Caenorhabditis elegans: one gene and its partner. The protein of the gene in region 1 purifies or fractionates together with the protein of each later gene. This does not show direct contact. Each region holds a gene or a part of one and is shown in the gene's direction. Other genes may lie near its edges. The genes, in order: wago-1 and rde-12.

What was found.
Region 2: the proteins of wago-1 (region 1) and rde-12 purify together in Caenorhabditis elegans (affinity purification with mass spectrometry, with the first as the bait; one study listed by BioGRID). This does not show direct contact.

What each region holds. Positions count from the first base shown.
Region 1 is NC_003279.8:7,229,738-7,246,160, forward strand, and holds wago-1 (Argonaute protein wago-1), read left to right. Parts: upstream 1-5,646; 5' UTR 5,647-5,670; coding exon 5,671-5,835; intron 5,836-5,881; coding exon 5,882-6,462; intron 6,463-6,506; coding exon 6,507-7,239; intron 7,240-7,287; coding exon 7,288-7,463; intron 7,464-7,506; coding exon 7,507-7,682; intron 7,683-7,724; coding exon 7,725-8,071; intron 8,072-8,117; coding exon 8,118-8,357; intron 8,358-8,397; coding exon 8,398-8,705; intron 8,706-8,750; coding exon 8,751-8,862; 3' UTR 8,863-9,055; downstream 9,056-16,423. Other genes in the region: hasp-1 (non-specific serine/threonine protein kinase), read right to left, coding at 7-124, 172-274, 329-1,768, 1,924-2,061, 2,168-2,311, 2,361-2,477, 2,526-2,690, 2,735-2,903 and 2 more; R06C7.2 (BEN domain-containing protein), read right to left, coding at 3,923-4,088, 4,136-4,323, 4,367-4,391, 4,442-4,764; dhp-1 (Dihydropyrimidinase 1), read right to left, coding at 9,347-9,497, 10,507-10,571, 10,702-10,948, 11,000-11,065, 11,513-11,790, 12,158-12,369, 12,448-12,625, 13,211-13,391 and 1 more; cpg-3 (Chondroitin proteoglycan 3), read left to right, coding at 15,256-15,295, 15,347-15,726, 15,772-16,019, 16,070-16,280; R06C7.6 (Protein N-terminal glutamine amidohydrolase), read right to left, coding at 16,404-16,423. UniProt on the Caenorhabditis elegans protein: Argonaute protein which is involved in the endogenous small interfering RNA (endo-siRNA) pathway. Interacts with secondary 22G-RNAs, which are RNA-dependent RNA polymerase-derived endo-siRNAs, typically 22 nucleotides in length with a 5'guanosine residue.
Region 2 is NC_003283.11:13,657,322-13,674,222, forward strand, and holds rde-12 (DEAD-box ATP-dependent RNA helicase rde-12), read left to right. Parts: upstream 1-8,067; 5' UTR 8,068-8,079; coding exon 8,080-8,314; intron 8,315-8,365; coding exon 8,366-8,710; intron 8,711-8,757; coding exon 8,758-10,098; intron 10,099-10,185; coding exon 10,186-10,294; intron 10,295-10,606; coding exon 10,607-10,959; intron 10,960-11,028; coding exon 11,029-11,496; intron 11,497-11,549; coding exon 11,550-11,578; 3' UTR 11,579-11,969; downstream 11,970-16,901. Other genes in the region: letm-1 (Mitochondrial proton/calcium exchanger protein), read left to right, coding at 3,970-4,100, 4,160-4,580, 4,629-5,155, 5,207-6,251, 6,301-6,447, 6,551-6,634; mip-2 (HTH OST-type domain-containing protein), read right to left, coding at 12,291-12,452, 12,500-12,631, 12,675-13,243, 13,289-13,604, 13,652-14,014, 14,063-14,276, 14,330-14,449, 14,497-14,621; F58G11.4 (MFS domain-containing protein), read left to right, coding at 15,281-15,397, 16,015-16,125, 16,170-16,305, 16,570-16,868. UniProt on the Caenorhabditis elegans protein: Probable ATP-dependent RNA helicase involved in RNAi-mediated gene silencing. Specifically required in the endogenous siRNA pathway for biogenesis of secondary endogenous small interfering RNA (siRNA) intermediates called 22G-RNAs.

The sequences.
Region 1 (16,423 bases):
GCCAACCATTCTCCGTTTCTCGGTAAGAAGTCCCTTGGGGCAGATTTTTGTATCAATCAGTCGATTTGCAATGTATACAATCCACATGAGATTCGTTCGCCTCGAAAATTTCTTCCAATTGCTCCTGAAATGTTTGATTTTTTTCTATTTCCTAAGGAATATATTACTCACTTGCAATTCTTTCTCATTTCTCGATATACTTCGAATTGTGGATCATCTTGTCCCTCGAAAATTGCTGGGTCGTTTTCCAAGTCCCAATAGACAGTTGTCGCACCTAAAATTAGAATTTTTTTTCAAAAATTGGCGATTTCTCTGAATATAGACAAACCTTTGGAAATTCGGCTCAATGTGAAATCAATAATATTGACTTTAATTCCATGGGTACTTAATGGTACTTTCTGCCCATGAACAGTGTAATAAAGCTCTTTCACGCCATTCCGATCAATCAGTACATTACCAAGATGTAAGTCTCTGTGTTCAAATTCGAGAGCTGCTTCTGCTGCATTCATTGAAAGAACGAGTTGGTGAATGATCGAAAAGAGTTCATTTTCACTTTCAAGGACAAAATCTTCCAGTGCGATTCCACCATTTGCCGAAACGAAAAGAATAAAGTTTTGATCTATTGAAGAATACACATCTGGCCTTGTATTCTCGGATTCTTTCAATTTGTCGTATGAATCCCAGGCACTCAACAATCCTTTAGGATACTTCCCCATCACAACTTCGGCAGAAATCATTTCGATGAAATTTGGAGTAGAATTCCAAGCATCTTCATCTCTCAAAGCCGATAGTTCCTTCATTACGATAACTTCAGGCAGAACGACATCGGATGTTTGCATTTCCTCAGAATGATATTCACCGAAATATTGCCGATTGCATCCATCTTTTTCAAATGGGACGATTTTGATAGCAACCGGTTTACCATCCCATATTGTTGAGAAGACTTCACCGTAGGCTCCTTCGCCGAGTTTCTTAACTCTTCGACCATCGAGAGCCGACTTCGGTAGACTATCCCACGTTTTTGATTCTTTTTGACCAACAACATGAAGGAGCTGCATCATCGGTGATGGATCGATTTCCGAAGTTAGATCTTCCAAGTAGAATGGGAGTATCGACGGATCTTCATTATGAATCGTCATACCAGTAGGAATATTTCTAGATTCTGCACGAGATTCTGAATATTGAGTTTTTCCAAACTCTTCTCCCATCGTGTCTTCTAAAAATTGTTGTAAGCTCATCTCCTCCATGGCACTATTTATGGAATCGTGACGAGATGAAGCTGCAGACATTACTGAAAGTCGTGAGACACGAGATTCTCTGTCACGTTGCCTTTGTTGGGGTTGAAGAGTTGTTCTTTTTCTTATTTCATTCTCTTTTTCAATTTCGAATAAAGCTTCTAGATCGTCTTGATCATCCTGCATCGTCATCACAGTGCTCATGCCTTGACACATTGTCTCCGGGCTCTTTGTTCTTTGTCGCTTTTTCGAATATTTGCTTTCTTCGAGATTTAGATCTGAGCATCGTTCATGCTCATCCTCCTCGTGCAATAGTTCCGTAACAGACGTTTCAGCTTTTCGGTTAAAAGTGACATCTTCAACATCTTCTGAGTCTGAGACCTGCTGGGTCATGATTTTTGAATTTTGGTGACTTTCGTTCCGGGACTCGATTGGCGTGGTTTTCAGTGTAGAATGTGAGAGACGATTTTCGGAGATTGCAGTTTCTTCAAGATCTTGCTGTGGTTGTTGTATACTTCCAGCCAATGATGATTCTACAAAGACAACGGATTAGGAATAAATATTTAATTGGTTTGTGAGAATTGTGAATACATTTTTTTGCACTGTGGAAAACTTTTTTAGGGCTTATAAAATTCTAAATAGAGTTTTAAAATAGAAAATATTAGAAAATGAGTAATATTGAAATTACCATGAACTCTTCCACTGTATTCCTCTTCGATCGGGATATTGTTGATGGTAGTCTCTTTTTGATCAGAATTTGCAGATTTTTGTGCGATTTGTTCTTCTTTTTTCGTGATATTCTCGCAAGAATCATTGAGGGAAACATCTGAAACAATTTTTTAAAATTAATTTTCAGTGTAACTATTGACTATGACTTTTTAAAATGAAAGACATAATCTATAGCAAAGTTATATAAATGTTTAAAAAAATACCAAATACTGGGAAGCTTTTGGGTCTTCTTCCAGCTGTCTGCTTTTCAATCGGAGTACTCGCATTCTGAGTTTTCGGCGAGAAGACAATGCTTCCGATCGTGTCGTCTAGTTGCTTCGCCGTTTTGTTCACACGAATCGGGGTGTCTAAAAAAGGTTAATGAATTTGAAAATAATTTCCAGTTTTCAAAAGTACAGCTATAAATAGCGAGACGCTCATCCTGACACTGGACATGTTTCGCCGGCACGATCATCTTCGATCTTTGAGGTGTGCCAAATACCCTGAACAATGATGGAGCTGCCAAAGATGCTTCTGAAATAATGAAAATTGCTAAATATCAAGTTGAAAAATGTGACTAACTTTTGTTTTGTCTCATATGATCTGCTAGAATTGAACCGCAAAATGATGCATAATTTGTTGGACACTGAACTTGGTTTGCTTTGGAATTCATCTCTGGAACCTGCTTAACTGGTTTTTTTTGTCTTTGTTCCATTTTCTTCGCGAAATCTATTTTCTTTGCTGGCTCTGAAATTATAATTAATAAACCTTTTGATGTTTTCTGGACTAACTATTCATCATTGGGAAATTTCCATCGTGATATTCTCGAATACCTGGCCGCCATGCTTCTTCAGGCTGCTTATCGTGAATAATATGTTTTCCATTTTCTATTTTTACTCTAATTCCATCATTATTGAAGACTTCGAGAGAAACATCATCCAATGAATCAAATGCTTCCTTCTGAAAAAATTAGATTATTTTCAAAACTCGAACATTCAAATGTTATTTTTGCATTCACTCCACGTTTACAACGTTAAAAGGAGTAAACAAAATACTAACGATTTTCTTAATTTTTTCTTCTTCATCAGCATCTGCATCAGGCACTTTAAATTGTCCAGCATCTTCCTCATCACTTGATATTTCGACATCACTGACATTTGGAGATGGTGGGAACACTGGTTTTGGCTTATTCTTCTTTTTGCTTCTGAAGAAATTTTAAATTTTGTTACTTTGAAAACAATTTTTAACATACGGTTTGAACTCTGGATTATCATTAAACGACTTAAACAGCGCCGGATTTTTTGAAAACTCATATTCAGGAAAGTCGATCGGGCATTCTGTGATAATTACGCTTGACAATTGACGATTTCGTCGGGCAAAATTATTTCGAGCTTTTTTCCCGGGCGATATTGGCACTTTTATTCGGGGTTTAGGAGGCATTCTGCAAAAAAAAGTGGAAATTGATTAAAACGTTATATAATGTAGCGCAAAATGCAAAGAGTTGGTTTGAAACAATAAATAACGCGCCGAAAATATAAATGAAAGTGCGCTCTACGGAGAACACTGGTATTCCATAACAAAAAAACAAAAAAAATAAAATTTCCATGTATTGGTTTTTTGAAAATTTTCCCAATCTAAAACTTTGTTCAAAACCAAAAAAGCGAAAGAAATATTATTTTGGTGATCCCGATTTTTCAAACTTAAAACTGAAATAAGTTTTATGATTTTTATGGGTTTAAGGAGACTACAACAACATTGCACGTACAACTTAACATAACAACAGGCTACATTCTATAATCTGCACTCAACAACAACAACAAAAAATCAATTTCCACGTAGGTCAAAACAATAATAGGGCAACGGGGGAAAATGAAATTAGCAGTTACACCACTTACTATTAGATACGCATTGTATGTAACGCAAAAACAAGAATGACAGGGTGGGATACAAATAAAAAATCATGGTATGCTTCTCACAAACTAGAAGTTGGAATTGAAAATACTACAATTTGATTGAATTATTAGTGCTGAAGCATTGACACGACGGTCGATCAGGAAGCCGGATTCCTTGTATTTGATGCTATCGGTAATCTGCTTCATACGAGCTGCCTCTGGTCCAGAAACTTCGGGAATTGCATCCGCAATGCTGCAAAAATATTTTAATATCAACTGTTGTCATTTTCTTAAACTCACATGGCTTCATTCCACAAATTACGACCACTCTTCGCGTACTCATTTGCAACATACATTGGTGTTGGAAAAAAAAGAAGTTGGAAGTCTGACAATTTGGTGAAGGTGGCACAATGGAAGTGAAATACACGTTCGAGCAATTCGTCATTTTCCGAGATTAAAAAAAAAAGGATTTGAAGAGGTAGATTTTCCTTGAATAAAAAAATCGTTATTGTCGATAACAGGAGAACTGACAAGTTTCAGTTCAAGGGAATTGATTCTAAAATAGAAAAAAAATGTTAAATTTAATCTCGTGCAGAAACTACTTACAAATTTCGAAGCTTCTTGTTCTCGCGTTCAGTATCTTGAAGCTTCTTTCGATTATTTTCCTCAAAATTGGCTAGCTTCGACAGTTGGCATGTGATTTCCTGTGTCCTTTTCTCTGTTTTCGCCGTTTGATCTTTTAGCATCACCGACTGAAATAAAACTTTTTCTTCTGCATGAAACAAGTGCAAAAAATTACCTTTTATTTTTCGTTTTCCTAATAAATTGAATTCTGAATACTTTAAAAACCAATAATTCTGGTGAGACGTTTGAGAATATCTGTACTTTTTACAGTCACGTCGCGAATCGGGATGTACAGCGCTGAACATTTTCCGCACATTTTCGGCAGATTTCCATCTATTTTAAGAGTTTTCGTAGGGACCTTACACAAATAACAAAATCCAGCAGTCTGCGTTGTTCGACAAGATGTGAGAGCAGGTGGTGATGTAAAATTGCCTTCTTGCTGGCGGGAATCCACATAGGTTGCAAACGATTAACTTCATTGCGATCTAAGCTACAAGCCTGAATTAGATGAGTATCATTCAAAATAAAATTAACAACTAAGTCACTTTTTAAAACATGGAAAGCACACAATACTTGTAAAAAGGAGAAAAATAAGGCTGTACAGCAAAAATAAATTCAAGGAGCGTTCGTTTTAACACTGAGTGGGTCTCGCAGCGATCTCCATTCTTATGTACTGTATGCGTTGTCATTTAAATTTTTTAGGACGAAGAAATTGTTTTTTGTATTCTTTTCCGGTTTGTGACAGTTTTCAATAATTTTTGTTAATTTTCAAGATTATTTTTATATTTTAATAATAATCTAGTTACAAAATCTTAAGAAACTTGCTCGTTGAATCTTAAAAATGTAAAAGTGATCTACATTTGATCTAGCCGCCAATTATCGGATTCTGTATTCTTGCGTCATTAATAATGATGATTTTGTACAAATCTAGTCGTTATTTGTTTTTATGCCGCCTCTGAAACACCGAAAAATCTCGAATCATTATTCTTTTTCGTCGGCAATACGAAAATTCCGTAGTTTGCCCTTTCTTCATAACGTACCATTTTCGTTCTAGATTGATCTCTTGAAGAAAACTGATTTATTTGTTTAAACTATTGTTAAATATCTCACAAATTCATAATTTTCTATAGATGTTCTCCAATCTCGCTTATTCGGTGCAGAATATTATTTATATAAGCTTTTTTCAGAACTAATATTGCAATAGTAATAAGATGTCTCCTCATCCACCACAACCGCATCCACCGATGCCTCCAATGCCACCAGTCACTGCTCCACCAGGAGCTATGACTCCAATGCCTCCAGTTCCAGCCGATGCTCAAAAGCTTCACCAAAGCACTGGCAACGACGCATGCATCAAGCGTTTACAACAGTTAAACGTATGTTTATCAGCATTCAAAGATCTTTCTAATGCCATATTTGCAGGTTGAGGATGGTGCGAAAATGTACATGAAGCCAACCGAACCTGGAAAAATGGGCAGACCAGTGGACATCCAAACCAATGTCTTCGGAATTGAAGTCACAAAGGAAACCACAGTTCATCGTTTTATGGTTCACGCAAAGGCCGATTTGACTTCAACAAAGGAAGTGACTTTCACTAAAAAAGGAAAGGAGGACTTCGTCGTTCAGGATCGTCGCGATAAGTGTTGCAACATCTTTTTCCTTGCGGTTGAGAAGAACCCGGAATTCTTCAAAATGAAGGATGGGAATCAGATTGTATATGACGGTCAATCAACTCTCTACACGACGGTCAACTTGTTCTCAGAACTGGATGCCAACGGTACGAAGTCCAAAGTCTTCCAAATCAACGGAGCTGATACCGGCAATGACGACCTTAAGACCCTGCCTTGCATTTCTCTCGAGATTTATGCCCCAAGGGACAACTCTATCACGCTCTCTTCTGAAAATCTGGGCAAGCGTACTGCGGATCAAAACATTGAAGTAAACAATCGAGAATACACTCAATTCTTGGAACTTGCTCTGAATCAACATTGCGTGAGAGAAACGTAAGTGAATTTCGAAAATTATTAAAAGCATCGCTTCATTTTAGAAATCGTTTCGGATGCTTCGAGCACGGAAAAGTATATTTCCTCAACGCCACCGAAGAAGGATTCGATCAACGAGACTGTGTCGACGTAGGAGACGGAAAACAACTTTATCCTGGCCTCAAGAAGACGATTCAATTCATCGAGGGTCCTTATGGTCGCGGACAGAACAATCCATCTCTCGTGATTGATGGTATGAAAGCTGCTTTCCACAAAGAGCAAACTGTGATCCAAAAACTGTTCGACATCACGGGACAAGATCCTTCAAATGGACTCAATAATATGACCCGTGAGAAGGCTGCGGCAGTGATTAAAGGACTTGATTGCTATTCGACTTATACCAACAGAAAGCGCCATCTAAGAATCGAAGGTATCTTTCACGAAAGTGCCACAAAGACCAGATTTGAGTTGCCCGATGGAAAAACTTGTTCAATCGCCGAGTACTATGCGGACAAATACAAGATCAGTCTACAGTATCCGAACGCCAATTTGGTGGTTTGTAAGGATCGAGGCAACAACAATTACTTCCCGGCTGAACTGATGACTGTGTCCAGAAATCAACGTGTCACCATTCCTCAGCAAACGGGAAATCAATCTCAAAAGACAACGAAGGAGTGCGCGGTTCTTCCGGATGTCCGTCAGCGAATGATCATCACTGGTAAAAATGCTGTCAACATTACACTCGAAAACGAGTTGCTCGTCGCTCTTGGAATCAAGGTTTACTCGGAGCCTCTGATGGTTAGTTTGTGTAAATTGTAAAAAAATATATTTGTTTTCTTTTTCCAGGTCCAAGCACGTGAGCTTGATGGAAAAGAACTTGTATACCAGAGATCGGTAATGTCGGATATGGGAAAATGGCGTGCGCCTCCAGGATGGTTTGTGAAGCCTGCGACTGTTCCTGATTTGTGGGCTGCTTACGCTGTTGGAAATCCAGGTTGCAGATTCTCCATTGGAGATGTCAAGTAAGACAAATAGAAATTTACATGAATCAATTCAATTCTTAAGCCAACTCGTCGGAATGTTCATTGATTCTTGCAAGAAGAAAGGCATGGTGATCAAGCCACCATGTGAAACAGGACTTTACAGTACGGAAAAAATTATGACTCAGCTGGAAAAAGTGGCTGCGAGTAAGTGCAAGTATGTCTTGATGATCACTGATGACGCAATCGTTCACCTCCACAGTAAGTTTTCCTTAAGTTTTCATGGTTCATTGAAAATTTCAGAGCAGTACAAAGCCTTGGAACAGAGAACAATGATGATCGTCCAGGATATGAAAATTTCCAAAGCCAATGCCGTTGTCAAAGATGGGAAGAGATTGACGTTGGAGAACATCATCAACAAAACTAACGTGAAGTTAGGTGGTCTTAACTACACTGTTTCGGATGCAAAGAAGAGCATGACCGACGAACAATTGATCATCGGAGTTGGCGTTTCCGCACCACCGGCTGGAACGAAGTACATGATGGATAACAAGGGACATCTTAATCCACAAATCATTGGCTTCGCTTCAAATGCTGTTGCAAATCACGAGTTTGTCGGCGATTTCGTTTTGGCTCCCTCCGGACAGGACGTAAATAATTAATGTGTTCGAGTTAACAACATGGTAATTTTTACAGACAATGGCATCAATTGAAGACGTGTTGCAAAATTCAATCGATTTGTTCGAAAAGAACCGCAAAGCGTTGCCAAAAAGAATCATCATTTATAGAAGTGGTGCATCGGAGGGTTCTCACGCTTCTATTCTGGCTTATGAAATCCCATTAGCCCGAGCTATTATCCATGGTTACTCGAAAGAAATCAAATTGATTTTCATCGTCGTCACTAAGGAGCACAGTTACCGATTCTTCCGTGATCAGGTAAATTTGTTTTATTATTCTCTTTACGCTAACTTTTCAGCTTCGTTCGGGCGGCAAAGCCACTGAAATGAATATTCCTCCGGGCATTGTCTTGGATAACGCTGTCACGAATCCGGCATGTAAGCAGTTCTTCCTGAACGGTCACACGACTCTTCAAGGAACAGCAAAGACACCATTGTACACTGTTCTTGCTGACGACTGCAAAGCTCCAATGGACCGCCTGGAGGAGCTGACCTTCACTTTGTGTCATCATCACCAAATTGTTTCCCTGAGCACGTCGATTCCCACTCCACTTTATGTGGCAAATGAGTATGCAAAGCGTGGAAGAGATCTCTGGGGTGAACTAACGTAGGTTTTTTTTGTTTAAAACAAAAATTTATTTATATTTTGCAGGACTAAAGGACCAATTGAAGCAAAGGAGTCGCAAGGCGAGCGCCTCAAGGAACTTACAAAGGAAATCGGCTACAAACAAACCGATCTCAATCAGAAGCGCGTCAATGCATAGATTTGGAGCTATGCCACATACACTTGATGTTTTACCTAGGATAATAATTTTACGGTCACCTAGGATAATAATTTTACGGTTTTTCCGCTAGTTTTATTGTAATTTTTTAGTCAAATGTTTTATATTTTTGTAATGTGGTTCTGTGTGACCCGTAGTAATTAAACTCGGTATGATAAAAGTTTTAGGCTGATAATATTTTTCAAAGATTTGCTTTGTGCGTAAAAGTTCGAGGCGATGTTTTTTGAGGATCTTCAAGTGAAAACGAAGATTGTCTGATAATGAGGGGGAATTTTGTTCGATTTTTTTTTGAAATTGGAACATTAAACATTTCTAGAGCTGCTTCCAAGTCAATTGACTAGTCGACTAAATATTACTTTTTGGTTGTAATCTCAATATTGAACAAACAATTTATTCACGTTTTTAACTCAAAATGGTAATTCGAAAGTTAATCAGAACAAGAAAAGTAATAAATAAAAAAGCAATTTCATTCAAGCCTTTCAACTATCCTTGGTTGAATTTTCTGTTCCCTTTTCTCGTGAGTTGAAAAAACGAATGGTGAATTCGCAAGAAGGGGAATAAATTTCCCAGATCCGGGAACTGTTTGAAGTTTTCCGTGAGCCCATACAATTCGCCCTCTGTAATAGATTGTGGTTAATGTTGTGCCATTGAGAGAATATGTCTGAATACAAGAATCAAACATTTTTAGATTATTTTTTTTTTTTTGCATTGGCCGCCTTCAAAAATTAAGACGATAAAATGAGCGTGCGGAAACCTTCTTCCAACCATGTACGAAATGCTATTATGGGAACACAAAATTTTGAGAATGCGTATTGCACAACATACTTGGCGCGCAAAATATCTCGTAGCGAAAACTACAGTAATTCTTTAAATGACTACTGTAGCGCTTACGGACATCATTTAATAAATAATCGATCAAATATTAGAAGAAAACTTAAAAGCTACAAAATATCGTTGTCACTATTCGAAAAGAAATTCATTTCAAAAATCGAGCCCGTAAATCGACACAAGCGCTACAGTTGTAATTTAAAGAATTACAGGAGTTTTCGCTAAGTGATATTTTGCGCGTCAAATATGTTGTGCAATACGCATTCTCAGAATTTTTTGTTCCCGTATTACAATTGCTTTATACTTCATATTAAGATACAATGTTTAAATCTGAACCTAAAATCCTATAAGTTGCGGTACTTATATATTTAGTATATTTGTACAGTAACCCCCCTTCGAATTTTCGCATATTTTTATTCAAAAATTGTAATTAAATCTAAAGTTTCGTTGCATTTTTAGACTTACAGAACCACTTTTTTCTAGTCCTAATATTGTTGAAAAAATATGTCGGTGAAATTTTGAAATGTTTAAAGGTTTTTGTGTACGGGTACTACATATTAGACAACTGCCGATGTCACACTTCAAAAATACTTTGCATTATCAAATATATTGTTGTTTGTTCTGAAAAACGCAAAGATTCAAAAGTGTCGACGGATATAATATAAAAACTGACTATATCTCTGAAAAAAACTCCGAAATAAAGGTTCAACGGAAATTGGTATATTTTAACATATGCTTGATAAGAACCAAAACTTCGGCATCTAGGCTATTAACTAATTTTGTCTAGACAAATCTCACCGAGAAATAGTAACTTCGGCAACTCCGTGACAGTTGATTCCTTCAAAAATGTTGAAATCGAGGTTCTGAAAAAGTTTGATAGAAAAAGGGGAAAGATAGATCATAACTAAAACAATTGTCATAGATTTCTTCTTAAAAATTAGTTGAAAAAAAGATAATTATCAAATTCCAATATAATTCAAATTTAAAACCAACATGATGATGTGTGTCCTTTGAAATAGTTCTAGTGGCATTTGGATTGAAAATTACAATATCTGCATCGGAACCAACTGCAATTCTTCCCTTTCTTGGATAAATATTAAAAATTTTTGCAGCTGTTGAACTGGTTATTGAGACATATCTCATTGGATCAATTATTCCAGAATGTACCCCTTTTTCCCATACAACTGACATTCGATCCTCGACACCATTGATTCCATTTGGAATTTTTGTGAAGTTTCCTCTGGAAATTAAATGTTTCTTTTTATAAAGACACAATAATATAAAAACTCACTTTCCAAGAGATTTTTGCCTGCAATCATATGTGCAATTGTCTGTTCCTGTCAGGTGAAGTTCCCCGCTGAAATTATTATGATTACTGTTTTTAAATTGAATTGAATTGAGTTAAAAGAAAAAAAAACTGTTTGATTTGTACAAAGCCGGGATTTTGGTGATTTCTTATCTTATGTGCTTGATTTCTTTTTTGAATATTGCAAAAAAAATTGGGAAAAATTGCACTTGTAAGGGGTTAGGTGTAGGATAAACAATCTGGAAAGTTTGGTAACTTTAAATTTATTTTTAAAAAATATGAAAATCTTTTGATCAAGTTGGATGAAAATATTTTTCAGACGTTTTCAAAAGATGAAAAAGTTCCAAAAATCTTTCAGAACTTTGGTCTACTTCTGAACACCCTGAAAATGTCAAAAATACTATAAGAGATTTTGGAGCAATTCTACAAGCCTCAAAAGTATCTCAAAAATACACTTAAAAAATTCCAGATAATTTGTTACAAGATATATAAACGTACGCCGCAAGTAATTTCATAAGTAATTCAGGTGTAGTTGGATCTCTGCTTAATGGTGGAGACATGACATATCTTGCAGCATGGAGCCAATCTTCATTATAATAATGTGATCCATCAAGAGCTAATCCAGCAGCTATTGGCTCTCCAAAAACAATGGAACCTTGAGCTCGGTGATGGGAAATTGCTGATGCGGCTCCTTTTGTCATTACATGAACGATATAAACTGGACAATTAGCTTGAGCAGCCAAAACGCAAGCTCTATTGGTGGCTTCTGCTTCAATCTGAAAATCTCCGTAATCGCTTTGACTGATCTCATCTAACAAATGCCATTATTTTTTAATTGTATTTCTTATATGCTCTGTATAACGATTAAATTCAAATGTGAACCGGAGGTGTATGCACTCAAAAATGTTTTTTAATTCGACAAATTGGTAATCTAAAATTTCTTATAAAAATAATAGTACGGTTGAAACATATTAAATTGCTTCAAATCTCTTGAAAAGCAACTTTGTCAATTTACCAAAATTTGTCTGAACAATTTCAAATTCTAAAAAGAATTTTGAAGTGTTTAATTATGATATTCAGATATTTTTGGAATGTTATAGGTGTATTCAGTTATACCACTTGCTTTAATTAAATATGAGTTACCTCTTCTGGTCTACTCTGTGTATGTCCTTCAGGCCCAGTAACTCCTTTTGCCAATAAATCAATTTCCTTTTCTTTAATCACTGAACCATTTTCACAATGAACTCTTGCCAATGCTCTAAGTTTTGCACATTCTTGCATTCCTCTGAATAATTCATCATCTCTGACCATTAGTGTGTTCTCATAAGCCATGTAGAATTTGAACGAATTAACTCCTTTAAATAAATTAAATTTGAAGATTTTTGTTTTTTTGAAAATTTATATTTTCAGAATCTAATTATATTCAAACTTACCAAATTCTGGACTTGTAATAATTGCCATTTGTTCAGCAGTTTCTGGTCTCCACATTGTGATAGCAACTGATAAACCATAATCACAACACACTTTTGGATCTGCCCAACTTCTCCATCTATTGTAACCAGCAATCAATGACTCCCCATTTCTATGATCCGGACAACAGAAATCAATTATCTGAAATTTAACCTTTTCTATTCATTTGATCTTCAGATTTTCTAAACCCGCCAGTTGATGGGAGAAATATGACCTTGGCAAAATGTGAGTGTGATTTATCACTTGGTTAACAAGGATATTTAATATAATAATGATCTATGTTATAATTCGATTACTTTAATTTCAAAAACAGAAACGCGAAATTATAAAAAGAAGGATTTTTGCTGACTTTAAAAATAAATAAAATTGTCAAAAAAAAACCTTCAAGTTTCTGTACTTCGAAGTGTTCTATATCTTTTGATGTCTATACAATACAATAATTAGAAATAAATTTTGAAAGCATTTTATTATTTATTCTTGTTCGCGGGTTTGAAGAAAATCTGAAAACTAGATGAAAGTGGGCATCCGTCTTTTTCGAAGTCTTCAAAAAAAAACGGTTGTTCAATTTAAACGGATACTAATAAAATCTTGGATCCTAGAATAAACATTTTTGTTTAATGGGCACAACGGTTTGCCGCATTTCCTGAATAGACCCTCAATTTTGTAGGCAGGTAGGCAGTCACATCTATGCGATGAGCTTATAATTTAATCAGTAAGTCATCTCACCATTGTAGTTCCTCCAGCAACTGCTGCTTCTGTTCCTTTCAAAAAATCATCTTTTGTCACTTCTCCCATATATGGCATTTGCATATGTGTATGAGGATCAATACCTCCAGGAATCACAAGACGATCTGTTGCATCAATTACTTCTGTATCTGGTAGAGCAGTTATATTTGGAGATACTTCTCTGAAATCGTTTTTTTTTTCAAAAATTATTTGGTAGAATCAACTTATTGGCGGATTTCGATTGGGGGGTTTTTTTTTAAATTAAGACCTCTACTAACTAACTTATGTCTCAAATGTTTAGTATATTGCCAAATATTCAAAAAGAAATTGGGGTTTTCACAAGAAATTTGTAGCAAAGAGCAAACGTCTACAGTGTTCTGAAACAAATAATTAAATCATAATTGAAATTAAAAATCGTAGAACACTTTTCAGTTGAATACCAAAATTATGATAGATGAAAACTTAGATATTAGAAAGAAATTGATACTTTTTTAGATTAAAAATTCAAGAATAGTTTCTAAAAAATGTTGAAAAGTTTTCCTATTTGAGCGTTATAGGAATAATCATTTTCCTCAGAGGCGCAAATCCATCTTCAAGAAAGAGATACCTAGATAAACTGAATTACAGTATATTTATTTTATCACTATCACCTAATTAATTTAACTACTTAACTTAACTACAGTTTTTACACGCATTCTTCTTGTTTGAACTTACACAATAATTCCATTTCTAACAAGAACATCAGCTTTAAACATTCCATCTTCATTGACGACAGTTCCATTCTTGATAACAAGTGGTGGGGACATTTCCGAATCTCTTAAATTAGACAAAAAATGAATTTTCTTGACGAAACACAAAAAACTTTGAAAATGAAAAAAGAAATCTTGATTTTGGGTGGAAGGAGGAGACTGATTGATAATAATAGTTGTGATAAGAAAGATAAAAGAAGAAGACGTACCCGGGGCGTGTGATGATAACGTACCCAGATTGATATAGACGATGTTAAAATCACGTTTCTTTAATCGGAAGTGAGAAGAAACCATATGGCATGATTGAAGATGGTACGGTTAGTCTGTCCAGTTTTTGTTCAAAGTTTTAGAAATTATTTGGTAAATTAGACTAATTGACAAACAACAACTGAAATATTCGCCGATTGTGATGACTTGTTGAGAAAGATGTGTGATCAACGTGCTGGAGTCTTCACAATGAGCATGTTCTACACATATGCCATCCGTGCCGCTCTTTTCTATTTAAAGCTTAAGCTTCAATGTCTGAACGAGAATGGAAATGAGGATGCTCTGACAAAGGTCCCTTTCCTGACAAAGAAAACTAAATAGCTCTGTATTTCAATTTTTCTTTCCTACAAAGAATCTTTTACTGTCTCGATTGTTTATTGAAAGCATCCGTTGCACTTCAAACTCAATACTTCAAAATTCGTGAAATTTGAAGTATTAACTTTGAAGTTGTAATTAAACCTTTCCACTCCCAAATCCAAGATAATCGTTTTCAAAAGAAAATTTTATTCAAGGTAGAATTATATATGAAAATATCCCCTTTTTGGTCTCGCCACGAGTTTCTTCAAATTTCAAATGAAGCCTGCTAGACAGTCTGCGCCTTTAAGAAGTACCGTAGTTTCCATGGATCGTTGTTTCGCAATTGTTATGGCTTATTTTCCCGTTTTTTCTTTATTCTTCATAACTTCATGGTATTTTTTAACACAATTAGTTGACCAAAAATAAAGAAAAAACGAGAAAAAATAGATTCAACATGAACTGAATAAATATTTAAATTTAAATTAATTTTCACCGTTTCATCTTCACAGTATGAAATTCTAGAATTCGAATACTATGTTTAAAAATTATTTCGGAACGTATTTTTTATTTCTATGTAGAAAATACCGTACTAGACCTGTATGACTAACAAATTTCTTACTAATTTTCAGTTTGATCTACCCCGCTTAATGAGCGAATTTTGGTTGTTATTGTTTTCAATGATTTCGATTTTTACTTCACAATCGCATTCCAACAAATCAGTCTTCACTAAAGATGCGTTTTGTGTTCATCATTGCTTTGCTGCTCATTGGAGGTTTGTTTTTCACTTGTATTTTGAAATTAAATTAATTGTAACAAATTGCAGCATCTCTCGCTCACCCAGCCGATCCGATCCGTGCCAAACGTGATGTTTCCGCCAGTGAAGATGAGTTCAGCGGAGATTCATCTGGAGAAATTTCTGGCGAGAGTTCTGGTGAAGCATCTGGTGAAGCCTCGGGAGAAGCATCTGGTGAAGCCTCGGGAGAAGCATCTGGCGAATCATCTGGTGAAACTTCCGGCGAGAGTTCAGGAGATGAGGAAACTTCCGGCGAAGGATCTGGTGAAGAAGGATCCGGTGATACATCACCAGTCGTTCCTGTCGACGAACTCACTCTTCAACAGTTGGAGACACTCAACACGTATGCTCAACAAGTTCAAGCTGAATCACAGAAGCTCATTCACCAAGCTAACTTCGTCATCACTGAGGTTAGTTTCTCGACCCCTTTTAATTCAATATTTTAAATCTTTCAGATGACTGCTCTCTCTGCTAACGCTCAAAACCTCGGAATCCTCTCGAACATCGTGCTTGCCAACTCTCAGATGGTTCTCGACAGTGCTCGTCTTTCACTCAATGAAACTGAAACCGAAACCGGAACATCTGCACCAGCTACTTGCGTCTCATCTGCTGTCTGCTATGGAGATTCTGGATGTGGAAGTGGAAAATGCATTGGAGCTCTTGCCGGAACTTGCAACTGTAACTCCTGTGTCTTTGGATGGCCGTAAGTTTTCAATTTATTTCGCAGCAGATTTTAAAATATTATTATTTCAGATGCCAAGAGGACAGTGCTTGCGGAGGATTCAACGGTGCTTGCAACAGCATTACCGCTACTTGCGATTGTTTTGCTGCCTACACCAAGAACAATCTCACTCTGGCCGAAGCCCTCACTTCGTTCTGCAACGTGGAGACGTGCAATGGAGCCGAAGACAATGTCGAGAAGTGCCACGGATTGCCATGCAACTATGGATTCTGTGTTTGCTAATTGACCCCATCTTATCGGCTTTTTTTTATTTTGCCCAAATATATTGCACACAAGTTTACGGAATGAATAAAAATTTCATGATTCTAATTAACTTCAACATTTGAAATGAAAAAAATCAAAAAATCACTTGGAAAATAATTGGA
Region 2 (16,901 bases), on another chromosome or scaffold:
ATTTGGAACTTTTGGTTTTTTTTGGAATGACCCTACCGTACTTCAAATGAACTTCACGTTCAAAGCTCACTCACTTTTGCGTAAATGAAACCACCAGCGAGGCGACTAAAACAACTAATTTTTTCAACGACAGAAAGATCAAATCGTTTCTCACTAGACCACGTGACTATAGACGCCGCCTCGAAACACATTTCACTTTTCTCTTTTTTATCACGTCAACCTCCCTCCGTGGGAATCGGCAGCACGTGGTGGGGGAAGACCCCTGTCGAGAGTGAATGAGATAAGAAACAACTATAGAAACATTTTTCCATAGTCATGGATGATTTTTCGTGAGCCGACAAGAAGCCCGAATAAAAAATATCCGAATGCTCTTGTCTCATGGAAACTAAACAAATAGAGACGCGTGATGATCTGATCATAATCTTAACCGGAGGGTCGTTGACCACACAACAAACTTTTATTTTCAATTTTCAATCACAACGCAGGTTTCTCGTCATCTTCATCAAAGGAAAATAACAATAAACAGAAAACTTTGAACCTTTAAAGGACGAGATCCTGCAAAAATAAATGGCAACACGGTCTAAAATCAATATATGGCGCGACCCATCGTTTCCGTAGTCTTTTCGAGGGAGTAATGCAAATAAACATTGGCGAAAAAGGAAAAAAAAACAACCTATTGAGACTTGACGACCGACGCCTGCAGATTTTGGGGGCCGCATCACGAATTCAAATAGGATGTGATGAATGGAAAAAAGAGAAAGTGCGCGAAATCGGCGGAGCAGGCTGGCTGAACTGCAACAGCTGTTGAACCGACAACGCCATTTATCACGGACAGCGTCTTCCTTTGAAATGGAAACATAACCAGGTCACTGATGACACATTGAACGTGTCAATGCTCCGCCCTTCACCTTTTCGCCTTGAAACATGTTGTTTCCATCTGATGATAAAAATGGAGAGATTGAAGTGTTACCATAGCTCAAATTCAGAACCTTCAGGAACATAAGAAAATCATTCCAAACATCTAACATCATTTTAATTACTATGCAACTTATGAAAGAAAAATGTTACATTGTGTTCATTTGAAGTGGAAGAAGGTGACGAACAGTCAAAACATGAAATGAAACGTGATCTAGATATGACAATGGTCATTAGAGTGACGAATTTTGGAACACACGACTTTCAAACATGATCGGATAAACGGACTGAAACTCTTTTCAGATCTTTTGAAACCATTTTTACGCAACTTTCAGCATGCAATGCACCCATAAATATTAATGACTTTCAGTCGGGGGCTATCCATCTCACGTGGTTTTCAAATACAAAGAACCAATACGCCGTAGACAAGCACGTTATGTACTTTTTGGCAAATTGCCAACTACACAATGTCGCACTCTCTCTTGACTTTATCGGTCTAAAATACGGAACACATTCTCCCATACCACGTGGTGTTTCAGACCACGCGGTCGCTCGTCGCCACACACGCTTTCGCATACATTTCCATCCGTTTTCCGTTTTTTTTTCAATTTCTTCTCCCTTTCCGTCATGGCGCCATCATTGATCATGTGATGAGCGGGAAATTGAAAAGTGCAACAGTGTTTGAAAATTGGTTTTATGGGAAACGAACGGCGGTCGAAAAATTGATTTAGCCGAGTTGAAAAATTAGATTTAATTTTGAAAATTCGCAAAAATCGTGGATAAAAGACAACGAACGGAAAAATGACACCCGACACTCTTCACAAGGAAAATAGTTATTACGATATATATTTTTTAATCTGAACGAAGTCAAAGTGAATTAATCTGACCAAATATACTTAGATGAGCTGTAAATATTTCAGCATTTTAGAAACAACCAGAACCATTTTCTATTAATGTTTGTCGTGATTTTGAAATTTATCAAATTCGTAATAGAAAAATAACTATATTTCTTGGTTTTTAATCTAGATAATTTTACTTTTACTTAAAAGTAAACGAGATGGTATGAACTTGATAACGAAAACCAAAGATATCAACGTGGTAGGTGGTGTGATAAGCTATCGCGAAAGTTTGCCATGATCACGTTTTAGGACGGACTTTCTTTTATACAAATTGGCTATTGAAAGAACGAGTGATGATGAATCAACTGGTGTCAAAAAATCAGGAGATCGACCAGACATCTGGCCACTTTTTTGTGAGTGTCTACGAGAAGATGAGGTTTGGTGTAAGCTGATATCACTGGGAGGCTGGAAACAAAAACAAGACAAGGTTACGTTAATCGTGTTTTAAGGGAATTTTCAAAAATATTAGGAAACTTCTGAAGCTAGATAGTAACACAAAAGGATGAAAACACTTGCCAAAAAAGCCGAATGTCAAGGTATGAAAAATCAAAAACAAAACAAAAAACCTAACTCAACGTTCGCTAAAATTTCTGCACAGCTATATTTACGTTTGCTTTGTTTTTCTATTTTCTCTATAACAGTCAGCAGGAAAGAGCAGAGTTATTGAAGACGGGAGAGATGCTCAAATGGCTCATTCAAACGGCTTTGATCACTGGGAAACGACTGATCAATGACGTCACTTTTCCGTTCGGAACGTTCCGCTCGGATTGCTCCGCATTGTCTCTTTCGTTGTCTTTATTTATCAAACATCAGCATTTTTGGCATCGATTATGGCTTTTAGCTTCTAATTATCGCCTATTTCATTTAATTCGAACTGATACTAACAAAACACGTGTTCGGTTACTCAATAATCTACTCTTCCAAACTATTTGTTTGATTTTCGGACCCGAAATCGAAAGTTTTCAGTTTTCAACGCGTGATTAGAGAAAATGATGATGGGATTGCGAACAAGAGCACATACTAGAACAATAGGAGCTTAAAAATTGGAAAAAACGTTTGGGAAATTCAATTTATAAGGAAAAATTTCGAAAATATACTAAAAAAGAAAAAGACAAGAACGAAAAAAACAAAAATGTTTGGAGAATTTCGAAAGTGATTACGGTATAATTTAAAGGCGCGTAGTAGAATTTACATAATTGGGTCCCGCAGGGAAAGCGATGAGACGGTATTTGAATGCGCCTTTAAATTGTTTGTTATATTTTTGATGGCACAGCTTTCGTTTTTTCTCTCTAAATTCGAGTTTTCTTCGTAATTATTCCAAATATCTATATCTATCTATGTTCCATATTTGTAAAATAATTCTTAAACTTATTTATAATGTTTTTTTCAAGTACGAAGACGTTCAGGGATGAGGTTATATAACTGTTATTCATAAGCCAATTTAGTTGAAAAAAAAACGTTGTGCTTTTTTTTATTCCATTTCTGTTATTACTATTCAAAAACACAGATTGTGAGAAATACAATAATTGTTTTTTTTTAACACAGCATATATTGATTTTCTCGAGAAATTGAGTGTTTGAGAGCTTCAGATGACTCTTAAATTATTTTAATAAGTGATTTCCCTCTGTTAAACATCAGTAGTTTGATCTCTGACCACCTTCATAGAACACTCACCACAGGGCGACCGAAATGCGCTCCATTGCGAAAAAATGTTTTGTTCGCAGAGTACCCGTTGCCAAATTTTGTTTTTTGTTTGTTACTTTCGTACTCGTGGCTTCCGATCATCAGAACCTGTTTAAAAATACATTATTGATTTATCTATGATGTACTCATAAAATTATTGATTTCTATCAGTGAACGTGCACCCTTTTTCAATTTTAAAATAAAAAAACACCTTTCACGGAAACAGTTTCCAATTTTTTATTAAAATTTGCTAACTGGCTTATGGGATCGTCATATTTTCAACCTATCGAAAATTTTAAGCCTTAAAAGTTTTAACTCCCGATTGCGAAATCTCTCACTCTTCAAATTTCATCTTTTCTCTTTCAAAGACAATTTTGCGTCATTTCATATCTCTCACTTTGCCCATTTTACTTTTAATAATATTTAAACTTTTATTTTTCAGATAATCAAGTAAGAATACGTGGAAATAATAATGAGTCTACGTTACGCATCAAATGCTTACCACATAGGACGATATGCGCAGAGACTTTTCGCTACTGGTCAAAGAAATCGGGTATTCCATCAATATATTGCATCTACCTCACTACAAACAACAAGTCTGAGGTAATTTTTAAATTTCCCAACTCGAAAAAAAGTAAATCGTAACATTTAATTTATTTCAGGTATGCATCAACAGACAGAAGCAAAGTGGAGTATACATTGAAAATGCTACGAGAAGACGTTCAGAAACAAGACGAAGAAGCACAAAAAGTCTTGAGTCTCATGAAATCAGATAAAGACGTCGCCACAGTGAAGCCACCGCTGAAAGACAGAATTATACACGAGCTGAAGCATTACTATCATGGATTTAGGTTGCTCGCTCTGGAAACGCGTGTCAGTGCGAAATATCTGTGGACAGTGCTCCGAGGAGCAACTTTGTCACGTCGTGAGCGTCAACAACTGGTTCGAACAGTTTCGGATCTATTTCGTCTCGTTCCATTCTCATTTTTCATCATTGTTCCATTTATGGAGTTGGCGCTTCCTATTTTTATCAAATTATTCCCAGGAATGTTGCCAAGTACATTCCAGGAGAGTAGCAAGGAGGTTCGTTATTTTTCTCTAAATTTCAATTTTTAACATCCGATTTTTCAGGAAGAAAAATGGCGAAAGCAAGTGAAACTTCGTGTTGAAATGGCGAAATTTTTGCAAGACACGATTGAAGAGATTGGACTGGAAAGAAAAACGAGAAACAAGGAATCCACTCGATCTCTGGAATTTGCCCTTTTTATCAAGAAAGTTCGCAATGAAGGTGGATATGTGTCCAATGAAGAACTTCTCAAATTCTCGAAACTGTTCGAAGACGAAATAACACTCGACAATCTTAGTATGGGACAGCTCCGATCACTTTGTCGTTTAATGAGCATCAACTCGCTAGGATCGCCTGAAATTCTTAGATTCCAGTTAAATATGAAGATTCGAGAACTCAAGGCCGATGACAAGCAGATTGCCGCAGAAGGAGGTGTTGATGCGCTGAGCTCCATCGACTTGCAGTCGGCGTGTCGTGCGCGTGGAATGAGAGCTATCGGAGTCAGTGAAGAACGATTGAAAGAACAATTAGTGCAGTGGCTGGAGCTTTCATTGAATGATAAAGTTCCGCCGGCCCTTCTTTTGTTGTCCAGGTAATCTTTTTTCCGAAGTTATCGAATTGAAAGTTACGAATTTATTTTCAGAACGCTATATCTTCCCGAAGAAGTTTCATTCCCTGATCGTCTCAAAGCTATCGTTCAAAATCTGCCAGATGGACTTGCCGAGACCACAAAACAGAAGCTAACAGAAATGGAAGGAGGACAAATTGATCACAAAGCTCGTATCGAGTTGATCAGATCTATCGAATCTGCGATCGCTAATGAAAAGAAGGATGAAGAAAAGAAGAAGAAGGCTGCAGAAGAAGCTTTGAAATCGAAAGAGGAAGCCGAAAAGGCCAAAGTTCAAGAGAAGGAGAAGTTGGTTGATGTGGCTGCTCAAGCAATTGTCCATGAGCTCAAAAAAGATATTTATGACGCTGTAGCATCAACATCTTCTACAACAGAAGCGAAGGAGCCTGCTGCGAAGCCTTCAGAAGCTAAAGAAGAAAAGAAAGAAGATATCACTGTGGACAAGAAAGATCTTTCCCATATTGAGGAGATCATTGTCGGTGGACCCATCAAAGAAGCTAAACACGATATTCTTGGACTACGCGAAAAGGTTCTTGAGCACAAGGAAGATCTCATGGAAATCAATTCTCTAGATGGTGCATTCGCTGAAACAAAGATTGCGAAACGTTTGCGTCACAAGCTCAATTCAATGATCGAAGATGTCGATTCGATGGTGGATAAGCTCGAAGATGAGAAGAGGAATATTCGTGAAATGCTCATTGATCCAACCGTGGAGAACAGCGTTGATTTGAAAAAAGAACGCGAAGTTCGTATTCAGGATGTTATCGATTCTTTGGCAAAGTTGAAAGAAAGTAAAGGAGAACAAGCTGATGATGGAGAACAACGTGAGAGAATTGAGGCTCTCTTGAAGACAATCGATGAGGATTCCGATGGAATTGTCGATAAGCAGCTAGTCTTGGAAGTTATCGAACTTCTTGAAAAACATACAGATGTTCACGTATCGGCAGCTCAAATGGCGTCCATGATTGGAACACTAAAGAAAGAAGATGAAGTTGCTGGATTAACTGAGGAGATCAGAAAAGTTCAATCCGGAAATTATCAGATGCCGATTTTGCCAACGGTATTCCCAGAATTAAAGCAATGCTTCAACCTCAACAAATAAATTTCAGGGTCCATCATCTGCGGATGCATTCAATCAACCACAGGGAGTGTACACGGCATCAAAGCAAGTTCCAGCGAGAAGTGAACAAGAGGGAGTGGAGCAAAAGCAACAGGTAGAGAATGGACCAGTGGGCATTCCCGATGTCGATACAAAGGTACATATACCTGATCGTTTTAGAATCTCTATAGAATTTTAAAATTATTGTGTTCAAATCACCAAAAGAATATTAATTCCTTGATTAAAATGATTTTTTCCAGGTCACATCCACACTGCAACAAAATTCCTCCAAGACGTCGTCTTCTTCGACGACGAAGAGCACATCCGACTCGAAATCAGCCTAGAAAGTCATAGCTTCAAATTTTTGTGTTAATATATATTTTGCATTTCTTAATTGTTTTCAATCTTTGTATTTTCTGTAACCTAAATATTTTTCATTTTCCCCCGCGCGCTCTACACTCTGAATACCGGTGTCTCCTCCTTCCACTCTCGTACCCGCCAAAAATAGTCACCTCCCGATTGAATACTATTCTCGTTTCTGCTCTCGAATAATGGATTCTTTTTCTCTTTTTTCTTCACATTTAATTCTCACAAATTTACTTTTTATGAAGTGAAAATCTTTATTTTAATTTCTTTAATGTTTTATTCAAAACTGGTTATCGCTTTTTCTGTGATATCCAATTAATACTACGTTTTTATTTGAAACCAAATGTTTTAAAGGCCCGAAATATGTTGGTAAATTTTTGGTTGTTTCCGAAAAACCAAAATTTTCTATCAGTTTCATTCATTCAAAATTTAAAAATCTAAATCCTAATCCTCAATGGCTGAAGTGTGATTTTTTGAACTATTATTATTAGTTAACGATGTCGAAATTCCAAAACACGAGCTATTCAGAGGAAGAACAATTTCCGGCTGATGATCGATTTATGCGCCAGTGACGCTTATTGGCGCATTTCAAAATTTGAGATTATAGCGCGCGAACAATTCCACGTTTCAATTTCTTGCAGCAATCCACTCTCATTTCAAGCGTATATTTTCCGATTTTTCCTCTAATATCGAAAACTCTTCTCCGCGTGTTCCCTGGTTTCTCATTTCCTCTCCCTTTGCTCATTCTTAAATAATGCTTTCCGCTTTGACACATTTTTATCAATTTAATCATTTCCGACGTGAAAGCACAGTAAAGTTTTCAATTTTCTTGCGGGTTGCATTTTGGGCAGTGGGAATGAAATTCAAAAAATAATTCTTTAAATATTCACAATTTCGTTGATTTAATTTTTATATTACTAAGCCAAAAAAACAATCTTCACTGTATTTCTCGCATTCCCAATTTTAGGAAATATTTGCTTACGTGGTTTTTCTCCCTCAATTAAAAAAAAACATTTAAAAAATTGTCAATTTGTCCATCAATCAATATGTTTTGTACAACAATGTTGCACCTAATTATAAACAATCTGATGTGGCCTGTATGATGGATACTGTGCAACATTCACTTTTTACTGCCTCAATGCCCCCTCCTATCACTGTTGTAAAAGTTTCATTCGCTATGACGAGAACACAAGAAGTGTAGACGTGAGGGCAAATAATAGACGCAGATGACCAGTCGTGTTTCTCTGTTCGCCTCTTTTCCCTCGTTTTTTGCACCACGTCCACTCGCACACTCTCCTCATGTTTCTAGATGATACCATTAGTTTTACACCAATTTTTCTTCAAAAAATTGGATTTCTAGCAATATTTGATTTCTCTTTAAAACTGCAAGCTAAATATCTCCATCTATTTTTTTTTCAGAACTATGTCGAGCTTTGGCAACAATGCCGGCGGAGGAGGTCGTGAATATCACGACGATCGTTCAAACCGTGATCATCGGCACGGAAATGGTGGATCGGATGCAGGACAAAGGCGCCGTGAAGATCATAACTCGAGTTATCAATCTTATCGTCGTCCAGATGGGAGACAGGATTCATACGGAGGTGGGCATCAAGGAAATCACGGAAACAGCTACGGAAGACGTGAGGATGATCGTTCTCGTGGGGAGTTCGAATGAAAGTGTTATTTTAATAATTTCTCTAAAACTCCAGATTCTCGCGATAACCACGGTGGAAGCCGCTATGGGGAACGGGATGATCGTGGCAACAACGGACGAAGTGCGGATAATCGCTACTCTCAAAGCAATTATAACTACGACAGCAACCGTGGTGGCCAACATTATCAGCGAGACAATCACGGATCAAAAGATGATCGTGGACCAATGAACCAATACAACGATCATGGTTCTAATCATAATTCCAATAGCAGAAACGACCAGTATCGTCAGGGATCTTACCAAGGCGATGGTCACTCCGGCTATCGCAGAGACGATGATCGTCGTCGTAACGACAATGACCAGGCTAGACCATATCAATCGAATAGAGATTCTGACAGAAGTATGTTTCTTTGAAAATCTTGATGCTAATTTATCTCCAATTTTCAGACTCACCACGCGACCACCACAACTACAACAGCCAAAGTTCTCCGCGAAGCCATCAGGGTGGACAAGATCGCTACAGTGCTCCAAAAGAAGACAATCAGCGACGCTACGACAACCACCAGGGAGGCCACGATTCCTACCGTGGTCAGAATTCTGGTGGCTACAGTGGAAATAACAGCGGAGAATACAGAAACGACTACCGCTCTCAACAAGATTCCCGCGATCATCGTTCTGGAGGCAATAACAGTTCCAGTGGTTTCAAAAACGATGGTGGATTTGGGGGCAATGACAATCGTGGATTCGGAAACAATGGCGGTGGCAGTTTTGGAAACCCGAACAACTCTTATCGAGGAAATTCCAATAATATCGGCGGATTCCACCGTAGCGATGGTAGTAATTCTGAAGGTGTCAATGCACCGGTAAGAGCCCCACGTGACTGGGTTCCAGTAACACGAGATATCGATGAGTTGGTTCGAGAAACTGCGGACCGTCTAGCAGATTGTGATGTAGGCCAAGATCGTGCTGTTGAGATTCGCAATGCCGAAAAAGATGTCCGTCTCACGTCATGGACGAATTCTGGTCTTCACCCAACAATACTCGAGACGCTGAAGCGTATAAAATATAATAATGTTCGAACAATCCAAGGAGCAATGATTCCACAAGTTCTCGATGGCCACGACGTGTTGGGACAGGCGGAAACCAGCGCTGGAAAGACAGCGGCGTTCGGATTACCGATTATTGATAAAATTTTGAGAATGGATGAGGAGACTCGCAACAAGGCTCGTCAAGACGATGGACCACTTGCCCTCATTCTTGCTCCAACCCGTGAATTGGCAGCCCAAATTCACGAAGCTCTCCGTACATATTGCCAAAATACGGATATCATTGTTCTCTTATCATACGGACAGTCGGATCGTGCTCGATCGCTCAATGAAATCAGGAATGGATGTGATATTCTTATTGGAACCTGTGGCCGCATTATGGATTTCACCGTAAAAAGTCACATCAGTCTGTTGCATCTGAGGTTCCTCGTCTTCGATGAGGCAGATCGTCTTTTACAAGATATGAAAAAGGATCCATTGGGACATCTTGGAGCAATTATCAAAGACGCTGGCTTCATGGAGTCTGCTGCTACTCGACAAACTATCATGACATCAGCAACTTTTAACGCGAGTGTCATGACTGTCGCAAATGAACTGATGAAACGATTGCCTGGTCAAGATGAGATGATTAAAATCGTTCTAGCTAATGGACGCTTGAGCAAACGCGTTAACCTGGAGTTCTTCGAATGTAAGGGTCTTGCAGAGAAGAACGCGAAGCTCAGGGAGATTCTTAAACAGAACGGTAAGTAAGATGGCCACTCGAAAGTTACAGTATTCGTGGCATCGGGTCAAAATCGGAATTTCAATAGTCCGATGTTTCAATTTTCAGTTAACGGTAAAACTCTCAAGACGATAATTTTTGTTCAAAAGAAGGATCAATGCGATGCGTGTGCCGCAAAACTGACATCCGGAGGAATGCTAGCTCAAACTTTGCACGGGTATGTCTTCTGTCATTTTTTTTATATTTATAACGCCGAATTTCGTCATGAGACGTTGTGAAAATCTCCCAAGTTTTGGAAAAATTCCTATGGCCAACTTACATATATTTAGTTGGATCAAATATGTGCAGTCATTGACTGAAGAAGCATCTTAATAAACGAGACACTGTGATAATTAAATTATCAAAATATGCAATAAGAAGGTGTAAATCATGCTGACAAGTTGGCAAATTTTGAGATTTTATTGTTCACTTTCTTTTTGAAAAAACCATTTTGATTCTAATAATGCAAATATCTATTAACAATTTCCAGTGATCGATCCCAAGACATGCGTGAAAAGTTGATCAATGACTTCAAAAGCAACCGAGTAAACTTGCTCGTCACCACTGATCTTTTATCGCGAGGAATTGATGTGTCAGATTTGGATCGAGTTATCAACTTTGACCTTCCTGACGGAGACCCTGATCAGGGAGCTGACACGTTCATTCATCGCGCTGGAAGAACTGGTAGAACTGGAAGAAAGGAAAATGGTCTCTGCGTTTCGTTTGTAGATCCTCAGTCTGATCGAGATAGTTTATTGGCACCGAAACTCGTCGAGCTTATTATATCGCAGAATCTCCCGGATCTCAAAGTTCCAGATTTCTTGGACGCGATGGCAAAATCCAGTAAGTGGTATTTAGAAAATATCTGTGAAATTATTATTTATGTCTCAATTTTTAAAAACATGATTTCAGGCCGTGGAAAGAGTGGAACTAGCGGTTTTGGTCAGCGAGGTGGATACGGAGGAAGAGGTGGAGGCTTCGGTGGCACTGGTAGAGGAAGAGGTGGTGGTGTCTTCGGTGGCGGAGGAAGAGGCGGAGACTTCGGAGGTTCCGGCAATTTTGGTGGATCCGGCGGTGGTGGCAGTTTTGGAGGATCTGGTGGAGGCGGCGGCTTCGGAGGCGTAAAACCCAGCGGATTTGGCGGATCTAGAAACAATGCCGAGCCTACATCATCCGGGGGAGGTTTTGGTGCTCCAAAAGCACCAACTGGATTCCCATCAGACAACAATGATGCATCTGAAGATGCACCAGCCGCCGGCGGTTTTGGCTTTTCTACGAAAGCTGCCCAAGATGCGAAAAAAGCTGAAGAGAGTGCCACTCTGGGAAGTTCAACATTTGGAACAGCTAATAATGCCGACGAGGAACCAACTGAAACCGGAGGTGAGAATATTATTTTCTATACGTTACTATTTTATATGAAACTTTCTTTTCAGCCGATGGCAACGACGACGACGAGTGGTAAAATCTACGCGACGTCGTCATTATTATTTGATCTCGAGAGATCTTTTGTTTAATAGAAACATTTCGAGACATCGCTTCACACCATTCTATCGTATTTTCGTAATTATCAATTCTGGCATGATCAATCAGTCAATTGAACATGGTGATTTATGTGATGTCTCGAAAATTTTCAAATTCACGACACCGCATTCTTTTATTTGTTTTGTAAATCTTCTGTTAAGTATTGTTTCCGATCCCGATATTTACTTACTCGTATTCCGTATTCCACCGTATCCCCGTACCTTATTTTGACTATCTATTTCTTTATGAATTTTGTATTCAGTACCTATTAAATACAGTTCTGAATTTTTTAACGGGGAATTTTGTTTAAAATAAATCTCAATGTTGGAAATGTAATTGTTTCAACTAGGGAGTACAAGAACAGCGTTATAAGTATTTAGAAGGAAGTATTCTTGAGAAAAATAATTTATTTTGGACGTTAAAGCGGAAAGTCAATTCTACATGATAATAAACCAAGGGACTTATTCTCCATTTAATTGTGAATAGAGAAAACGATACATTTAAAAATTTTTAAAAAGATTGTCGGCACTAGTATTTAGTGTGATAAAAACGAAAATAGCGAAAATGGTTCAAAATTCAGATATAAATACTAACGAAAAATATTCAAAAAAAACATAAATATTATAAAATACGTGTCAGGAGCACTGCTTCAACTACGCCTGGGAGATGTTCGGCGAGAAATCGGAGTTCAGCGACGGTGGAAACGAGGACGCTGACGAATGGCATAATACAACACGAGAACGAGGCCGTATTTTCACACCCGCTCCTTTTGACATTGGTGGCAGCAAGACGGTAAACGGTTTGGGTGGACTCTTCTGAAAATTTAATATATTAACAAGAGTTTTCTTCTTATATACTTTACCTCGACTTTCTGAACGACTTGAGCACCCCAGCCATCATCTGAAACATTGCTGGCTGCATGCGAAGAAGAGCCCATGCCGAGACGAGGTGAAGGTGAAGGTTCTGGCTGCTCATTGAAAGCTTCTTGCTCTACCTATAACAATATAAGTAAAATGAGAGAGGACAACAATTTATACCTGTTCTCGTTGTCTCCTAACTTCAGCGAGAGCCTGTCCAAGGGTTCTAACTGGAACCACTTTCTTGACACATTGATTAGGATTTACCCTGACACGTTGAAGGTTGATTGATGAACTTGGGCGCTGCACTTGAGCAACAACATTTAAGCTGGCACGGCTTGCCATATTTCTTTGGACTTCAAGATTTTGTTGCATCAGAGCTTTCGCACGTGCATCAATCATTTGTGGAAAAGCTTTCAGCGATGCATAAACATTGACTAACATGACATCAGTCTTCTTCAAAGCTTTGAGTTGCAGAAGCTCTTTTGAATCGTATTTCAGGCCTTCTTCGTTCAGCTTTTCCGGGACAACGGTTGAAGAAGAGGAAATTGAAAGGACTGATGGAACTGATTGTCGACCGAAGATACAAGAAGTGCTCTGCACTCTTTCAACGATAGAATCAGCTTTCACGGAGCTTGGAGCGTTGCCGAATCTCTTTGTGACAATTTCTCGGTGATTTTTTGGAATAAATGGCATCATGTCACTTTTGCTTGCTTCCTTTTTGCTCTTTCTGGCATTCAAAGTAAGACCTGAAAATATTCTTTGTTAAAATATAAGGAATTTTAATAACTCACCGTCCAGAGACTTAGAGATTGAAGCCAGGTCAGCTTTCGGCTTTGAGTTAGGATCCTGGTATCTAAACCCTTGTGATATTGGTAGCTGAGCAACAGTTGTAGCTTCAACTTTGCGAGAAGGCAACTCAAGCACCGATTTGGTTGTTGTTCCTTGATCAGCTAGCCACTTTTCCCTCAACGAAACTTCTCCATCAATAACTTGTAGAAACTCTTTGAATGTTGTCTTGGCCATAAGCATCCAGCTTTTGCTGAACAACAATAGTGGATCTACGGGTGCACCGAATTCCCTCTCATAGAGTTCTGTCATCTCGGAGAGCTGAAATTAAATACTTATACGAGAGTACAACTAAACTTTTAACTTACGTGAACAGAAGCTGGAAGCTCCTTCACCATCATACGCTTCGTATTATTCATGAACTCCGTGATGGTTGGCATATGAGACGAGCTTGAAGATGTTTTAATTTGCACATGCTTCTTGACAGGTGATCGACTTCCACTACGAAGAATGAAGATTGGAATCGAAGACGCAGTTGATGGGCGCATGAGAGGGCGCTGAATGGATGGAGCTACAGGCGGATTTGTTGGATTCGCATTTGAGCCACTCGACTTTCCAAACGTAGAATCATGATTTCCTGTTCCGAAGGATTGGATTGCCGAGGAAGTGGATGCTTTAGATGACGACAACACCGAGAAAGGACGAGAAGGTTGCCCGAAGTTTTGGAATAACTGAAAAATTCTCTTGACATTTAAATCTTTCTATACATCTTTTAGAACCTTTTTAGACGCTGCTTTTCCAAAGGAAGCATACGAACGAGGGCGACAACTGGAATATCGTGGCGATCTCGACAGCTCTCCTCCAAACATAGATCGTTGATGATATCCAGCAGAAGATGACGAACGTCTTCCTCTTTTTGAAGAACCTTTATTCCTAGGTCCGTCGCTCTGCTTCGAGATCAAATCCACAAGATCCTGATTGTCCTCGTTTGCGCTAAAATATTAGTTTTGACAGGTTAGAAACGCGAACGATAAATCGGAACGTACATGATCTTGAATTTTCCCTCGTAAGTTTGCCGTACATCCGGATGCTCGATCAGAATTTGAGCCATGTCGTAAACACCAGCCAAGTGATATTTCGAGCAGTAGTCATATCCTAATGTGTCGCTGAAAATTACAGTAAATTTAAATTCACACCACTCGGATCAACTAACTCCATTCTTTGCTCGACCTGCTTCGGTGAGGCTCCATCTTTGAAAGAAAGAAGAACACTATAAGCGTCCCGTTCGATGCGCTTACGCATTTTGTTCATTTTTTCTTTGCCTTCTTCTTCAGACATTTTTCAGGCAAATGCTGGAAACAGTAAAACAATCAGTTGAATGACTTTAAATATTCAGAAAACGGAAATCTGAAATAACGAATACAAAAAAATGATTTAAAACTTAAAAATGTCAAAATCGTGGCAGAAGTTTCTAGAAGTGAACACGAAAACAATCCACGTACTGCGCACACCGTTCCACGCACAAATGCACATTCAGGTCTCTACCGTAGTTCAGTCCAATTCGCAGGCCTGGAAAAATTTCAAAATGCGAATACATGTTGGTTGTTGAAATTTTTTTGGATTCGACTTATAAATTAGCTTCAGTAAATATAAAACTACTTTTTAAGATATTATTTTATAGAAGGCTCATCATATTTCGTATTGTGACTGCAGTTCACCGGAAAAGTACAAAACAAATCACTCCAACCGGTATGCGTCCACTCTGATAATATTATTGAGTTTTGTGTTGGAAAATTGATCTTTCTATCAAAATTATGTAAATCTCTTCCTCTTGTTTCTTCAAACATTTGTGGTCTTCCAACGACACATCTATTTTGCGGCATTCTCTATTTCAGCTGTCAGTTGACATTTTATTAGCATCTATTATATAAAAGTTCTTAATTTTAACTGTACATGAACGTTTTTTAATAGAATCTATATAAATTTTCAGTCAAAAAATGCGAATAATCATTGAGACTTCTTGGGATGTGGTATATCTTTGTGGATACTTTTCATTAGTTGTCTACTTTCAATATGCCATTTTTACCACTATTATGTATACTTATATGACAAAAGTATGTGAATATATATTTTTCAAAATTTTATCGGAAAATCAATTTTTAAAATGTTTTAATTAAAATAAAGTAATTCAGTATGTGCCAGAAAAATAAATATGACCAAGCTTGCAAGAAATGGGCGGATCCTTTTTTGAAGCATTTTGTAATAAAAATGTTGATTCTTGATTCGAAACGGGCTAGACGATGTCATGAATTTGCAAGGTTTTAGAAAAATATGAATAAAATCGCAGTGAAATCTTCAAAAAGAACTAGTTTTAGAACTGCCAACTGCCAAATGAGTTATTTTTAACTTAAAAATAGTGACTTTGAAGCACTATCTCAGCAGAATGGTTTGGAGTCTAATTAGAGAGAACCCTGTCTAATCTTAATTTTCCCCAGTCTAAATAGATGAAAATCGAGTCAAATTTGAAACACGCGAAAAGCGAATCTAATTAGAAGCGGGACGAGTCAAATTAGATAAAAACCCTGTTCGATTTAGGTTCGATTAGTTCTGCTCCGCATTCCGATTAGCTTCGCTTTTCACATAATTAGACTCCAAACCATTTATCTGAGATTAAAGTTCTTTATTTCTATAAGTACATTTCAAAGTTCTATAAAAATCCTCACAATTTCAGCTCGACCCATCAGTTGGTCCTACGTCATTTGGTTTGGCAGTGACTCTTCATGGAATTGGTCATTGCCTTGGAGCACTCGCAGCAGCATGGTGGACTAAAAAACGGTATAAGGTAAATACATTAAATAGTTAAAAAACTTTTAAACAAATGTTCAGGGCAAAAAACCAATGTGTGTTGGATATCTTTTAATGTTACTTTCCAATTGTCTATTCCTCTTGGCTGATCATGTTCCAGCAGAAACTAGTGCATTCTACATTATGTTGTGTAGATTTTTAGGTGGTCTTGGAATGGGTAAGTCGTTATGATTGCTTTATTTCTAATTCAAATAGTCTCATAGCAGCTATTTTTGTATTTTTGTAACTATTTCAAAGATTTCAAACGTGGTTTTAATATTTCATTTAGCAAAATTCACACATCAAGCTTGGGTCGAATCAGAAAAAGTAAAGTGGTTCCACATTAGAAATGATAAATTGATATTCAAATTTAAAAAAAAGTATTGAACTCGCCGACTACTCCGAAAAGTAAATATATCTAGCTAATTCTCAAATTCTCTAGGAAATACGTCAACTTTACGTACAACCCTAACTGCTCATTCAATGTCCGATGATCGTGCAAAAGCAATGTCAGTATTTATTGGTGGACGTGCTCTTGGGCTCATTCTTGGTCCAGGGCTCCAATTGATTTTCTTATTTCTTGGAGATACTGGACTTCAACTTATCGGTCCATTGCATATTCATTCTCATAATGCAGCAGCGTTCATTTCAATTGTGTTAAATATATCTGCAATTGTTGCATTGTTTACAGTATATCATGAAATTGAAAGAAATGGAAATAGTTGCAGTCAGAGGAGTGTTGTAAGTGTTTTTTTCCATTTTCACGAAAAATCT